2 linked regions of the Astyanax mexicanus genome follow. The protein of the gene in region 1 purifies or fractionates together with the protein of each later gene. This does not show direct contact. Links are inferred from orthologs where the notes say so. Each region holds a gene or a part of one and is shown in the gene's direction. Other genes may lie near its edges. The genes, in order: casp2 and pidd1.

Region 1 (7,723 bases):
TTATGCCAAACATTTTACCACTGTCCTAAACTCCGGATAAGTGGTCAGCTTGTGTAAAGCAATGGTGTTTCACTTATTATCAGTTTGTGTGGGCGTGATTGGAAATTCTAAAATGTGATATACGAGGTGTGTCTGAAAAAACAGCACTGTGCTGCTCTCCCAGAACTGTCTGCTATGTTTGCACTCCCAAACGGCGTAATGGATCTTGTCAGTGTGGCACAGAGATTTCAGCCTCTGTTACCTGGGCCACTGCTCATCCTGCCTTGTGTCTCTGAACTGTTTATCCATGATAACCATGATCCACCTCGCTGTAGTGAATGAAAACCTTTTCTCAACTATTTTGCTGTTTTCTTTTCTGCCAAAATGTCCTTACTGTGCATAAGTTTTGCAAAACATTGAATGAACAGCTTGTTTCTGTCTGTCTGACTGAAATGCATTAAATATTAATTGAGTTTGTTGTTCTCTTTCACAGGATGGATGTGACTTTGTATGCCGATCCCGTGGCAGGAGAGAGGAGTCGCCTGCTTACAGGGGTGTATCTACTGAACCATTAGAGGAGCCAGAGGAAAGGGATGACCACTTGCTTCCAATGTGACCTTGACAATCTGATCTAGTCAGGTAGAAATAGCCTAGGTTTGACTAAGTTTTGGCAGGGGATGTTAGGTATGTGTCAGACAAAACAAAATGACTTATCTTTAAGCATTCCTTATACTGCTCTATAAATCCCTTACAGACAGATGAATTTCAAATTACAATATCAGCTCAGAAAAGTTGGTTTCTCAAAATAAATTTTTATACATTCACAGTGTGAATGTACAGCCTGTGCTTAGATTATTTTCTAAGTAGGGTTTTGTTTATTGATTTTTCTTCATTCAGTTTAGCTCCAAAGAACATACAAATTATACATTTACTAGTGGCCTAAGTGGTTTTATTTAAGTACAGTAATGCATTTGATATTTATAATGAACTTATTGGGTCCTAGTACTGCCCCACTAGGTTTTCTTTGTTGTCTCATTAGGGGGTACCTCAGATCATTTGTTTTTTTTTTCTGTGTTCTGCTAAGGGAAAGATACATTTTACAAAGATTGTTTTAGGTTAAGGTTACTTTAGCATTCTGTTACTGCAACAATTAGAATGCAAATGCTAAACAGAAGCACAGAAATGGTTTGTTTTGCATTCAGCCTATTAGACCATATATATATATATATAGTTAAGTATAATGTTCTGTAGTATCAATGACTTGTTGTTATAAATGTTTTTGTAAGAATAACTCATTGTGGAGTGGAAGAGGGAATTAAATTTTGTTTGCTGAAGAATATATAGGTACTTTCGCTATAAACCTAAAGAAATATTTAATGATGGATACTGTATGCAGTAAACGGTGAACATTAATAAAAATGTGATAAGTATAATAGACTTTTTTTTCCATAAATGCATTTCAGCTAGTCTTGCGCTAAACAGCACGGTTAGTGAATGTTTCAGATAGACTGGCCTGTATGCTGATTGCAGTTGGTGAGTGAATATCTATTTAGTTTTGTTGAGTTCAGCTGCTGTCACTATTTAAAGGAAAACATGGTATCTGCTTAATGCACTGCAACTTGCGTCTGCACTGTGTTTATCACAGATGCACAGTGATAAACAATTTTTTTTGTTTATTTTTATTGTTTAGACTGGATATGAACTAATGGAAAATGCACTTCCAAAGTTGTTTGACAATTCATTTACATTTGCACTTGAAACAGACCTCTTTATGGGAGCTTCCTGAAACCCTGATGATATATTAATGGGAGTGTGACCAAAAAATCACCAATGTAGTTTTACATTGTCCAGAACAGGGATAACATCTTCTTCTGGACTAAAGTGTTCTTAGTAATGGTTAATTGTGAATTAAAAGCTGTGTAAACTGTGATGAATATGATCAGATAATATAATATATATAATATAATCAGATTAAGAAAAATAAACATTCAGGCATCCACAGGGTCCTTTGGGGTGTTATGGGGTCTATATAGAACTACTGCAGTTGGTAAAAGAAAATCTTATAAAACCCTTTAGTTTACCCAATGGTAAGGACTACACATATCAGCCATAACATTAACACCACATGCCTATTATTGAGTAGGTTTCCCTCTGTACTGCAACAACAAATCAGAATCTCATAATTGGTGTTCTGTGGTTGGGTGGGTCCTTCATCAATGATCATCAGTGAGCTTTAGGTGCTCATGACCCTGCCGCCATTTCACTGGTTGTCCACCATTTCACTGCTACCAGAATAAGCCCACAAGCCCTGTCTGTTGATTTTAAGTTTTGACCCAGTTATCCAGCCATCAAAATGCTGCTCTTGTAATAATGGCTATAATCTAAATATTTGCCCCTTTTTGTAGTCAACACATCAACTTTAAGAAGGACTAATCACATGCTGCCTAATATATCCCACCCTTGACAGATGCCACTATAGATGAAGGTAATATATGTTTACCTGTAAGTGGTGTTAATGTTCTGGCTGACTAGTGTATGTATGTGTATCAGTTCCCAACCCTTTTCCTGGAGGACCCTGAGCCCTGCTTTTCCTTCACCTATTTTCCTATTCCAGTACAACTGATCTAACTAATTTGTAAAATATCAAACCCTTCCTGAGTTAACATGCTGTTGCATTAAATGCTGCAAAATGTTCTCCAGAACCAGGACTGGGAATTGTACATGATTACAAACTACTGGAGCTTAGCTTTGGACCCTACTTCCTTCTGTGCTTACTACTGTGCTTAACCACAGAAATTACTTTTTGACATTTGAAAAAGTTGGCGCTCAAATCAGAGTTAAGACAGATATGAACTTCAGTTCTGTCAGCTCCGACTATATTTGCCCTTTCCTTTTGCTGTTTATTTTGTGTGGAAATAACAAGCTTTGTTTTTTCTTGTGATATGAAAATAGAAATAAATGCTTTTGATTGTTATCTGCTGTTTATGTGTCATTTATTAGTCTACCAACAGTTACAACCCAGGCAGTTTACTCCAGACTTTTTAGGGTATGTTCACACAGCAGGTAAAGTGTCCCAGATCCAAGGTTTTAATTTTGATTGTCTACTCTATCTTTTTAGTGTGACCTAAATCTGACATTAAATCTGACATTTGTCGCCACACACACACTTCAAGTGTCAGTTTTATCCTTGCCAGAATCACAGGGGTTATAGTGTTCATGCTCACTGAAGAAAAAACACATTATGTGACCTTGAATATTGATTTGTCTTCGGTTTCTGTTTTCATTTTTTCTTTGATTCTGAGGCCTCATCCTGTGACCGCATTTGGCTATTTCATTAGAAACTTCAAACCTCATTATATATTTGGAACAGAGACATTAGATGCACTAGATTCTATTCTGGTTGTTCTGACAGTCACATTGCTGCGAGTATAATTTATAATACATAGGATATGAAAAGTGGATATATTGAGGCAATGTCAATAAATATAAAAAAAATAATAATAATTTTGCAAGAACAGATAACGGTACAGTAGGTGCTACTCTTTAATCATACATTATATATATTTTTTTGCAAAATAAACTCTTCATATATTAAAGCATAAAATGCAATTCTGCATTTTCTTTCTAACCCTATTTATTTATGTCCAGCTTCGGAGTGCTACCATGTGGGAAGTCCTCTTCATCTGGACCAGAGTATGTTCAAATATGAGTTACACTGCAAAGGAACATTCTGAAAGGAGTTTTTGGTTATGTCAGCAAGGCTGAACACAACCACACTGGAAAACAGTGGGCTAAAGGGAATCCCCTCTTTATTATCAGTGATTTCATCACAAGCTTATTATAACATTATTAAAATCAAAGGAACACAGAATTCAGATTGTTTATATTTACCCTTCCACCTTAAATGCTGCTGTGGCAACACACAGGTCTCAGGCTAAATATATTTTTTATGGGCTTTGAATTTAACATCTTCCGCTTTTAAGGTGGAACAGACCATTCATATAAGAATGGTGTAGTATTATGTGGACTGTTTGTAATTCCTGCACAGCAAAAGTGATAATGTTTAAAACTCCTAAAGTCTTTTTGTGTGAATTTTTTACACTGCAGGACTATACATGTTATTGTGTGGTATGGGCTACATTAGCTGGTGTAATTTAATTTTTATTCTGCAGGACACTTTGTGTGAATTTTACAATGTTTATATTGTTTATGACCCCTGACTATAAAGGTTATTGTGTGGTATGTGCTACATTAGCTGTTGTAATTTAATTTTTACACTGCAGGACACTGTGTGTGAATTTTACAATGTTTATATTGTTTATGACCCCTGACTATAAAGGTTATTGTGTGATATGGGCTACATTAGCTGGTGTAGTTGAATTTTTACTCTGCAGGACACTTTGTGTGATTTTTTTCAATATTCATTTGGTAATTGTAATTGTATAGTACCCTGTACCCCGTCTCTGTAGTTTTGCTACATCTATTGAAAAGGTCGGACTGTACCAGTGCGCGGCGGTAACACCACACTGTACAGCGCGTCCACCCACAAGAAGAAGCAGCAGCAGCTCCTCATTCGCTGTTTGTTGGCGCGGAAGTTACTTGTGGAGAGCTCTGGGGCTGTCAATTATTCTTTTAAATTCTCGTTTTCTCCCTGTACTCCTGGTAAAAACGCCTGGGGACGGAGCTGTATGAATTATATTAATTCACAGGGCTGCAGACAGGATTTGGTGACTAGTTGTACGGGACTGTATGGCGTTATTAAGCCGAGCTGGTCGTTATGTTTTTAGCCTGGTTAGCTTAACTAGCTAGTTAACGCTAGCTGCTCTTTTAATCAGTCATACAGGGGCTAACTGCCAAGCGTGTGGGATAGTTAGCTAGCTAACATAGCTGGTAAACTAGTTAACTAACTTAGTTAGCCAGACAGTTTATTACAAAATTGAAACAGTCTACTGCCGATTGTGTGCCAGTTTCTCTACTCTTAATTTGTTATAATTTGGCTAGACTGTGCTGTAATATTATAAGCTAGCTAACCTAGTTAGTTCAGTTATCTTATTTAGGTAACGCTGTTGAGCTGAGTTAGCTAGATATATCCAGTCTGCTGCAGAAGACTGGGAAAACTGTTGGTGAAGTGTTGAGAGCTCCTCTGTCTGTAGGTCAACATTCAGCTGAAGTTTGAAGACAGCAACTTAATCTGGAAGTCCACTAGGAAACACCGACAACTGTAAGTTTGTTTAACTGCATAAGCGAGCTAGCTTTGTCATGCTAAAAAAAAACATTTTTAACTTTTCAACACCTGGATAAAACTTGTGAAATCATCTATTTTTAGTAAGTTATATATATATTATTTTTCTTTCTTGTGAAATGTTTGCTAAGCTAATAGCCTTATAGATAGATAGCTAACTTTACAGGCATTGTTCCTCTTTGTTGTTGTTGGATAACCTAGCGTATTAGCAATATAACTTCTTGCAAAAAGCATCACAACCAGCAGGCCTCTAGCTATAGATACTGTTAGCCAGTTAGGTAACTTCACAGTTCATAAAGCAATTTCAAACATTTCACATAGTAATATTTTGTAAATAATGTGCTTCATGTAGTTCATAAATACAGCTAAAATAAGTTTTCATTGGTCATGTGTCTGTTATGTACTTTTTTCTACCATATATATCATCTAAATACCGTTGCATACACAAGACCTTGCTGTTGTTGGGCTGATAAAATGTAGTCTGATCATTATCCAAGGCACAGTTAAAGACAAACACTTTCTGGCAAAACTAGTTAGTATGGATGCATCACAATATTCACAAAACCACATTTATTTGTCTTCATAAGAGCAAAGTTTTGGTGATTTGATCAAATTTCAGCCGCCTGGGCTGTTGACGTACAGTGTTCAGTGGGTAATTTAATTTATGCAATATATATGTCGAATTGTTTCATTATGTTTGTTTTTATTTACTTAATAATTTCATACATTCAGTTGTACCATGTTTGTCTTTTTATTAAACACACTTAGTTAACATCCACAGTGTAGGCTAGGCAAAAGTAAGGTAACTACTTATGTAATAACATAGGTATTCTTCTGTAGCATCAGTCACTTTCTTTGAAATGTTTCTTGAAGCTGCAAATAAGATTTCCTCAACTTTGGAATTCCTGCCTGCAAATGCGTTTCAGTTCATCAGTAATACTGGAACATATTGCATGCAGAGCCCTCTTTAGTTCATATCACAGAATTTTGGTAGAGTTAGAATCAGGACTTTGTCATTCCAAAACATAAATTCTAATTCTCAAGTATTTTTTAGTTTATGTATTTTTTGTACGCTTTTGTTTTATTGCAACTAAATACATAAAATATAATTACATTAGAAAAAACGTTCTTCATATTTACACATGCCCTGTGAGGCTTTGGGCCCTAAACAAATACATATGATGTTTTTAGCAATAAATTGCCTGATTTGAAAATTAATTAAATTAAATAAATAACCTACATTAAATAAATAACATAAATTAAATAAATAACAAAAAATCATTGAAGATGTTCTTGAATTGTGATGCTCTGTTACTTTTGTTCTGCTGCAGTCTAACATCTCATGTTGTTTTGTTCTCTCATGCACATATATATCTACACATGCGAACAGCAGCACCATGCTTGTGGAATGTGGAATGAAAGAGCGAGATAAGCTGGCACTGAAGAAGAACTCTGTGGCACTATGTAAAGAAATGGTGGTGGATGAACTACTTATCCAGTTTTTGCAGGCAGAGGATGTTCTCACAGAGGGCATGGCTGAAACCATTCTGGTAATAAGCATGTAACTAATGGTGCTGAATATGTCATATTGTGTTAGGAACTGTTTTATAGGAGCAAATAGTTACTATTCATTCAAAACAGTGTTTATTGTTTTGTGCTTTATCAAAGAAATTCAACTGCAGTTATTTTCATTGCTTTTTCAGTATAGTCACTTGTTTGACAGGGCAATATATCTGTTGACTGCACTGTAGTAGTAGTGTTTGACCTTGTCATGACTTGAATCTTGCAGGCGGAGCCTACGTCCCATAAACGAAGCTGGCGTTTGCTGTCACTGCTGCCTAAGCGAGGCCCCCAGGCCTTCAACAGCTTCTGCACGGCTCTTAAAGAGACAGAGCAGCAGCACCTCTGCACCCTGCTCATTAGGTTCAGGGAACGAGAGGTGAGTAAATGGCACCCACTGTAACAGGCTTCTCACTGGTTTACAGAGTTAGCAGTGCCAGAAGTAAAAGTTGTCATAACAGGAGTGTTGCACATGTGTGGTTGCAGAACAAACCCACAGAGATTGAGGGAGAAATGTCATTGGCACAGGACAACACACCTGCTAAGGACAGGGGAAACCAGGAGGTGAGGGTTATAGACACCTAAAAACCCACCCAAAGATGTAGAATTTAAGGAATTAAGTTCAGGAATAGTAAAGGAAGTCATGAATAGAAATAGGAAGTAAATATGATCTAGCTGGTGAATACGATCACATCTTATTGTAGTTTGACAAAGAGTTAAGTCAAACTAGTACTGCATTTGCCCAAATTGAGCAATTGGAATTACCATTGGGACACATCAATGCTTAGTTCTGTAGTTGGTATATAAAAAGGATCTGGAATGTTAGCAGAAAATTTCAGATCTAGATACTGTTGGTTGTTCGAGACCCTATAGTGATCTAATTGTTCCACAACGGGTGCAATTGGTCCAAACTGTATTTTTGGCATGTGCGACACAGATATA
Region 2 (8,184 bases), on another chromosome or scaffold:
CCAGTTGTGAAGTTTCCTCACTACTAAATATTCAGCAGTCAACAACATTCATAAAGTGGTTGCCTATGTAAGATGACAGAGCGGGGTCAACAGATGCTGAGATGCATAATGCACTGAGGTCAAGAACTTTTCATGTGGCCTTTAGATCATCTTACCTAGTATGTAGAGAGCTTTGCATGGAATGGGTTTTCATGGCTGAACATTCAAGTCTTACATCACCAAGTGCAATGCAAGTGTTGGATGCTGTGGTGCAAAGCACGCCACCCCTGGACTCCAGATCAGTGGAGATGTGTTCTCTGGAGTGACAAGTCACCCTTCTCTGTCTGGCAATCTGATGGATGAGTGTAGGTATGGCGGTTGCCAGGAGAACAGTATTGTCTGACTGCATTGGGCCAAGTATAAAGTTTGGTGGAGGGAGATTATGGTACTCGGCCCATTAGTTCCAGTACAGGACACTATAAACAGTTTAGGGATGGCCCTTTCTTATTCCAACTTAACTGGCCTGCACATAGTACTAATGGAATGTCACTCAAGTTTATATGTGTGTAACGGCATACGAGTGAATACTTTTGGCAACATAGTGTATCTCCATTTTCTCAGTATCTTTTTTAGGTAATGTGGATCTGGCAGTAGTTCTTAACATTGTGTACTACACATTGTTGATAAAAATTAAATAAAAATGCTTAAAAATGACTTAAAATAAACACTAAATAAATGACATGGACTTCCACTGAAAGACAAAAAGGTTTTTTTCTCTACTGTAAAGTAAGGAGATCTGATGTTTTGATACAATACTGATGACATATTCACTATATGACTATAATACAATTTTGCTATGGTGTTGTTGCTGGTATAGTGTATATGCTGATGTATTTCGAAACACAAGTGATATTTTCTAAGAATGTGTTGTAAATGTGCTCTGACAAAAATATTACTATCCTTTGACCTCCTTCTAGTAGGCCACATCTTGCCAGATGTGTCTCGAGGAAAAGGTTTTACCAAGTATATTTGAGAGGTCAATCAATGGGCATCATAAGGGGGTAAGGCATTTTAGCTCATTTACTCTATATCTCACTTTAAGTTAAACACATTTCTCACATATGTAATCTGCAGTAGTTTTGTTTTTCTTCTCTTGTGGACCACCTGATTATGATTAATAGTCTTGCTTTTCATTTTCCATGTCAGGCACACCCAGTTCATAATGCTATCATCAGACAGCTCCAGTGAAAATAAAATTCTTTGGATTCTTAGGTGATGATAACTGCATCCGCTGCTGCTTCTTCTCTTCCCCCAGAAGAAAAGTAACGGTATCAGGAAAATATGCTGTCAGTCTCTGGGGCAGGACGAATCTCTGAGCACAGCAGCTGGGGCATGCAAACGGAACAAAACAATAACACAACATGTCCAGGCAAGGAATAATAACAACCGAAACACCAGCAGTTATGTGCAGTAATGTCTGAATGATCCTGTGTTTCTAATATTACTCTTTTCCTCTTGGACTACATGGCACTGCCACTGGTGATTCATCGCCAATAACTCTTATGATCTAAGACAGGTTCTAAATATGGTTCTAAGCTGGAGTTGGGAGAATGGTGTGTTTCTGAGCGCAAAAGTAGGCTAATCTGAGACTACATTACATCATAGGGATTTTCTTTTCAAAAGGGTTTTTAATCATATTAGTCTTATAAGAGGAATCACTGAACAGCACCCAGTTACAATAGGACTTGACTAATGACCTACAATAGGCTGCCTTGGCAAATGACGCCGTTTAGAAGTTTACGTAATATCATTATTTTACATTATTATATATGATTATATGGTAGTAACATAACACAGGAAGATGATACATCCTGAGCCTCAGCCAGGATGTATTATTGTTCACTCAACAAACAACACCAACAACAATTTAATACTGGCTTAACAATGATCCAAAAGCACAGAATAACTCTTGTGTTCATGGTCCATTACTTTAGCTGCTGATAAGTATTTAGCTATTGTCATTAGTTATTAGCATTTTATTCCAATAAAAGGCCAGATTACTCAGCTTCAATTCAGACATGACAAAAGTAATTTGATTCTTTTAAAAAAGTAATTCAGTTCTTTTGCAAATGTAAAATCAAAAATATTCAAATCTTTTTTTAAAGGTGATTTGAATCACTGTTTAAAAAACATTCTGGTCTTTCCATTGATGCAAATATTTTTATTTGATTATTTTTTTATATTTATTCCTTTTAATTTGATATTTAATATGGCATCTCAGGATAATAATCTCGAGATAATTAAATACATAAAAAATACAATAAAAAAATCTCGGCTGCATTACCTGCTCTAGCATTTAGATGTCATCAAAACACTATTCAGTATAATCAATTTTTTAAACTGGGTCCCCAAGGCAAAGTGGTCCCTAGAGAAGAGGGTCATTTAAAATGTGTTTTAAAGGAGCAATTTGTAGAAAATTATGGAGGACCAAATCTGCCAAAATAAATAAATAAATAAAATCGTATGTAAATCACTTAATAAAAGTAATGTGGTGATTAAAACTGTAAAGAATAATTGTAAATAATATAAAAATAAATACATATACCTAAAAATAAATATCTTAATAAATTGTTTTTTATTCATGTTTATGTTTATTTATTTACATAATTTCTGCATTCATTCATTTCCTGGATAATTTATTTCTGTATTCATATATTCGGTATACTCATAATCAGACACCACAAGTCTGCTTCTCCATTGTCACTGATTGCAGGTCACGTTAGCACCTGTAGCATAACATGTTCATATGAAATATCGATATAAAATCACCTGTAGTCAAGTGATATTTCATCTATATGTCCTGTGGGCGTGTTACAGTAGCATTTTTTACAGTAAAAAATAAATAAAAATGTGTCTCTAAAGACTACAAGTGATTTTAGATTGATCGCTGCAGCGATTCCTGCTATTTTCAGCAAATTTCCTCGGAGAAAGGGAAAAGTTGGGTGTTTTGAGAAAATCTAGTGTTTGTAGTTTGTTCTCTGTTCCTCTGTCATTTGAAAGATATCATTTGAGAGAGTTTAGGAGGTTGCATGCGAGCAAGAGAACGTCCGAAACGCGAATCTCCGCTTAATGTCGAACAATAAATTAACTTTACCAAGCTGTTAATTTAATGCCATATAACCAAGTGTTTACCTGCGTTAATCCTGTTATTTACAAATATTTTAAAACATTTTTTTTTACCAATATTCACAAAATATCATGTACTGAAAATTTCAAAGGTATATTAGGCAAGCTGTAAGCATAAGTCTTCCTAAAATCTGACTTTCTGTAATTTGCTTCCGCACAGTCACTGGTTGTTTACCAATAAAAGGAAAAAAAAAAAAAAACACATATACTTGGGGGTTAGATCTGAATATTGAAGCTCAGACTGGACTGAGATGTTCAAGTCTGAACACAACCTGCAGATTATCCTCAATTTATTTCACCAATTCTCACTCATTCTTATTATTTTCTAACCAATTCTCACTATTATCTTAATACTTTTTATTCATTTTTGTCATTTCTCTCTATGTCTTTTTCAGGGTATTTTTCAGAGGAGGAGCTGCTAGACTACCTGGACTGACTGGATGAGCACCACCCTGACATTGTTGTTTTCAGTACCCTGGCTTTGGTGTTCCTCTGTCCATCCTTACCATTCCAAGGACCGGATGGCTTTTATCAGTGCAAATAATGTGAGAAGACTCCAGGAGCAAATAGTAAATAGTACTCAGGCAGAGAGCATAAAACGTACACATCAAGTTAAAATCAATAAGTTAGTGAACACGGAGCTTACTTTTTCATGTAAATCAGCTTTATCAACTAATCAACTTTAAAATGCACACAAACTTTTTGTCATTTTAAAATTAGAATTAAATATTTTAGTTAATTAGCATTAAAAATCCATATTTAATTTTAGAATATCTTGATGTCCTGATTTCCTCTTGCCACCATTGTAAATAGGCCTCACTGATTACAGTAATCTTGGACACTAAGGCCTGTATAACACTCACTTTAGCAGCCTTAAAAAACAGAAAAGATCATTATTTGTGAATATAAAAAAAAAAAAAATATATATATATATATATATATATATATATATATATATATATATATATATATTATTTATATATATTTATATATATATATATTTGTAATGTTAAGTTATTATAGTTAGTGTCTCACTGCTGCATTTTGGTTAAAACTGATGAAAGTTAACATGGTCTGTAAACATTCAAGCTCATTGAGTACAATAATAAAATATATTTGTTACTGTGTTCTGGTAACCCAGGACACTATCAGCGTTTTTTCCCACGTAGCTTGTTTTTAACACCGCAAAAACGCACACTACAGTCGCCTGAATGGCGAAAGAGCAATAGGTGCAGTTAGTGGCTAATGCTGCTGCACCCAGCCTTAGTGATGGAGGAAGTTTACTGAAAACTCACCCTTATATTGCTGTCTATAGTGCTGAGTGGCTTTACTGTTTCTGACTGGTAGAATTCATAAATAAGGTGCATCATTTTTTGGGACAATTAAAGGATTTTAAGATTTGCCTTGTAGTCCGAAAAATACGTGTTTCACACTAGTAGCTGGTTAGTATTTTTGGTTACTGAAGTTAAAGGAGAACTCCGGTGTAAAATTGGTCATTATCAGTACAGTGACGGTGGCGCCCGGTGATTAGCTAACGCTACGAGTTGTAAACAGTGGTTTTTAATAAGCTTCTTGAACACTTTTAATGTTATTAATGCCTCATTTTGTATGTCAGGGCTCTCTGGGTACTACCAATGAGGTGTGGAGCTACTTTTAGACAGGATAACGGTGTAAAGAGCAATTAATCAGGGCAAAATATGCCCCGATACTGCCGTGCTGGGCATAAAGCACAAAATTACTGAAATATCAGAAAGCTGTAGGAGAATAGAGGTGTGCTATTCAACAAAGGTTAGTAAGTTAAGTTACTCTTTATCATGTTTTACTACACCATTTGCTTTAGTGGTCATTATGGAAGGTTCTTAAAACAATATTAAAACAACCTGTGTGTGTGTGTGTACTGTGTACTGTGTACTGTCTCTTTAAGGAGCTGTGTCCCGCCTCGTCCTGAAAGTTCCGCGGTGGTTATGATTCTGAGTGGCGGGTGAAATATGGGGAGCACTGTTTTGACAAGGAAGTAACTTAACTAATGTTAGTTTAACAGCCTATCTTCACCACGTTCAGCTTCATTTGGCAGATTAACGCGTCTTTGGGCTGATATATTTAACGCTATATTTACTGGAGGCGGAGAAAAACCCCTACAATCTCGGAGAGGTGAGTGTTTACCGGTTATTTACACAGCTAACCGGCTAAAGCTTAGCAGGAAAGTTTTCTATCTGAAAGCTGCTGGGAAGCTAACTCATCTAAACTAGCATGGGTTAACTGTGTTCAGCACAGGCCAGTGTGGGTGTGTGTTCTGCAGTTACCTAGCCAGTTAGCAGACTGGGCTGTTTAAAAACTTCTACACTCTCTGCTGTAACTAACTAACTTAAATGTGATTAATATTAACAGCCTACTGTCAGTGTATGACAGCTCTCCATCTAGCTAGCTGGTAAGCTTAGTTTGAAAACAAGGCAGTGATTAGTTGTCTATAATTAACAGTGTCACTGTAGGCCTGGGAAATGAGCAGAGGTGCTGTTTGAGTTAAAATAGAAATAAAGCTACCATTTTGACATCTGCTTGTCTTAAGGTAAATAATCTCTGGTATCATTCTTAGTTCAGCAGTCTTTTAACAGAATGTCATTCATTAGTCTGACAGTGCTGTCTAGTAAAATTATCATTAACACAAAACACTGAAGACAAAGAACCACGTTGTTGTATATAATTACCTGCAGACAAGCAGATGTTTTATTTACTTTACTTTACTTAATAAAAGCTGTTTTAAACACAGGTTCATAAATTAGTTTTTATTTACTGCTGTTCTATTTCATACTTTCTGCAGACATAGGGCATTCCCAAATTGTACCCTGTTGTATTGATGTTAAATTGTGTGATTGCACTGGATCCCTACTTCACTGTATGAAAGTGTTCACTGTATATTGATTGATGTGCTTGTGTAGTGCTACTTTTGTGTTGATATGATAAATGTTTATGCATACTGGGCCAGCAGTAACGACTTTTACTCCTTAAGGTTTTGCATTATGTGGAGTAAAAAGTACGATAAATCCTATTTTTTTTCACAATGTGAGTTTTCAGGATTAAATTAGAAGGGGTGCAGTAGCATTGTAAATAACAGAAAACCCAAACTTCATTACCTGCAGACACCAGCAGAGGGGGCTCTTCATCCTGCAGACTGTTATCACGTAACCTCACTAGTCTGAGGGAGAGTTCATCAGTGGGCGACATTGCTGTAAAGTACTATCACAATATTTTAGGCTATTTTTTTTAACAGTATTCTTGGCGCATTGATATATTTAAAGTATATATTACATCAACAAAATAAATATTAAAGTTTTATTTATAAATATTAGAGTATAAATATTAGAGTTAGGTGTGAAGAGACTCATCTCAGGAGACCAGACTGAAATGTTTACTATATAAATATTTGTTTTGGTTACATAAACCTCGCGAGACACATTCAACACCTGTCAAGGAATATCTCAAGGCAAGAGATATTGTCACACCCCTAATTAGTGTGTTTAATACTAGACTAACACAAATAAAGTAACAACAAAAACCTACCGCAAAACTAAAGTGCTGCATTTTTAGTGCGTGCATATAAACTGCAAACAAGCAATTAAAGTAAATACTGGAAATATTAAAACAATGCTAGACATAGTAACTCGCAAGAATATTGCGATATCACAATATACATTTTCTATCGTGTCAATATGTTTTGCTATATAATTGGGTACAATACAATATGACACACCCCTAGTATGCACATCAAACTACTTTATGGTCTGGGAATATGAGTGCTACAAAGTTCAGAAAGTTCAGTTTGTTTTTTAGAAAAACAAACCTAAATTATTAGGAAATTCATATAGGATCATATTTTTCAAATCAATATTAGAATTTCCATGAACATTAAGAAATTCAGATTGCAACATTACATTTTTGTCTGTTTCGTATACCCCTGGTAAAAAGTAAGATATTTGTCTTTTGATTTGATATTTGAGAGAATAAAAGGTAATTCAAAATTGACATACTTCAGTATTTAAGTATGGATACAAGCAAAAACAACTTAAGTTAAACTTCATTCTTTTATTAACTGCACTTACTGTGTTACTGTCCTTCACTGAAAATATAAAAATGTTTTTTAAATGTCCTTTAAAATGTGAACTGTTGAGCAACTGAGATTTGAGATTTATTCACAAGTCTTTCCTTTCTCCTTCACCAAAGGCAGCTTTAAAACTTATAAGGCCCACATTTGAAAAATACCCTTATCCTATGTAAGAGATTTGCTTTTAGTACAAGGTGTTGAATGGTACTTTCAGTATAGTGCACCATATGTGTAAAACCTATTTACGCTAAGAAGATTTTAATAGCTATGTTCACTGTGTGTGTATGTGTGTGGTCATGTACTGAGGCCATTGCAAATGTCTTGGAAAAAGAACTGAGAAAAAATAGTTTTCTAAAACGGGTGGGAGCTCTAATTGGTCCAGTAAGGAAACAAAAAAACATTTGAGAAGCCTCTTTCATTAGTTGCATGGCTACTAGTGTTTTCTTTTTTTTGTTTTTAACGCTTCTCAGTCTTTTCAATTTGCACCTCTCTACTGCAGAATGAGTGGCGTCTCACCCTCCATGCATGGGCTTGCCTGGGCATGGTCTTCTCAGCGTGGACCGGTTTGGTGATGTGATTGAGTGCCAGCTATGGAACTGGAGGCTGAGATGAGGTGTCACATTTATGTTGTGACACTTCTACTCTCTGCTCTCTCCTTTCTCATGCAAAGGATAAAGAACTGAAAGGAAAAAAAAGAAAGGAGAGAAAAGGATGGAGAGGGAAAGGATGGAGAGAGAGAAGACGTATGAAGAAGCCTTTACAGACCAGTATGCAGAGGATAAAGGGCGTGACGTGTCCACAGGAGAAGATCAGGGAAGAAGGGATTCTGAAAGGATTTTGGAAACAGTTGGAGTGATGACTGTGGAAACCAGGCCTGAAGACTTGAGGAGTAGGAATACTGTCCAGTCACTGGAGGTGGA

The links.
Region 2: the proteins of casp2 (region 1) and pidd1 purify together in Homo sapiens (affinity purification with western blotting; 5 studies listed by BioGRID and IntAct, with this or other methods). This does not show direct contact. The link is inferred for Astyanax mexicanus from reciprocal best matches to the Homo sapiens genes CASP2 and PIDD1.

The regions. Positions count from the first base shown.
Region 1 is NC_064413.1:38,957,740-38,965,462, forward strand, and holds the start of casp2 (caspase-2), read left to right. Parts: upstream 1-4,532; 5' UTR 4,533-5,200; intron 5,201-6,611; exon of another isoform or gene 6,612-6,614; 5' UTR 6,615-6,618; coding exon 6,619-6,771; intron 6,772-7,010; coding exon 7,011-7,160; intron 7,161-7,267; coding exon 7,268-7,345; intron 7,346-7,723. Other genes in the region: m6pr (cation-dependent mannose-6-phosphate receptor), read left to right, coding at 473-595. UniProt on the Homo sapiens protein: Is a regulator of the cascade of caspases responsible for apoptosis execution. Might function by either activating some proteins required for cell death or inactivating proteins necessary for cell survival.
Region 2 is NC_064409.1:47,560,585-47,568,768, reverse strand, and holds the start of pidd1 (p53-induced death domain-containing protein 1), read left to right. Parts: upstream 1-5,123; 5' UTR 5,124-5,316; intron 5,317-7,763; 5' UTR 7,764-7,975; coding exon 7,976-8,184. UniProt on the Homo sapiens protein: Component of the DNA damage/stress response pathway that functions downstream of p53/TP53 and can either promote cell survival or apoptosis.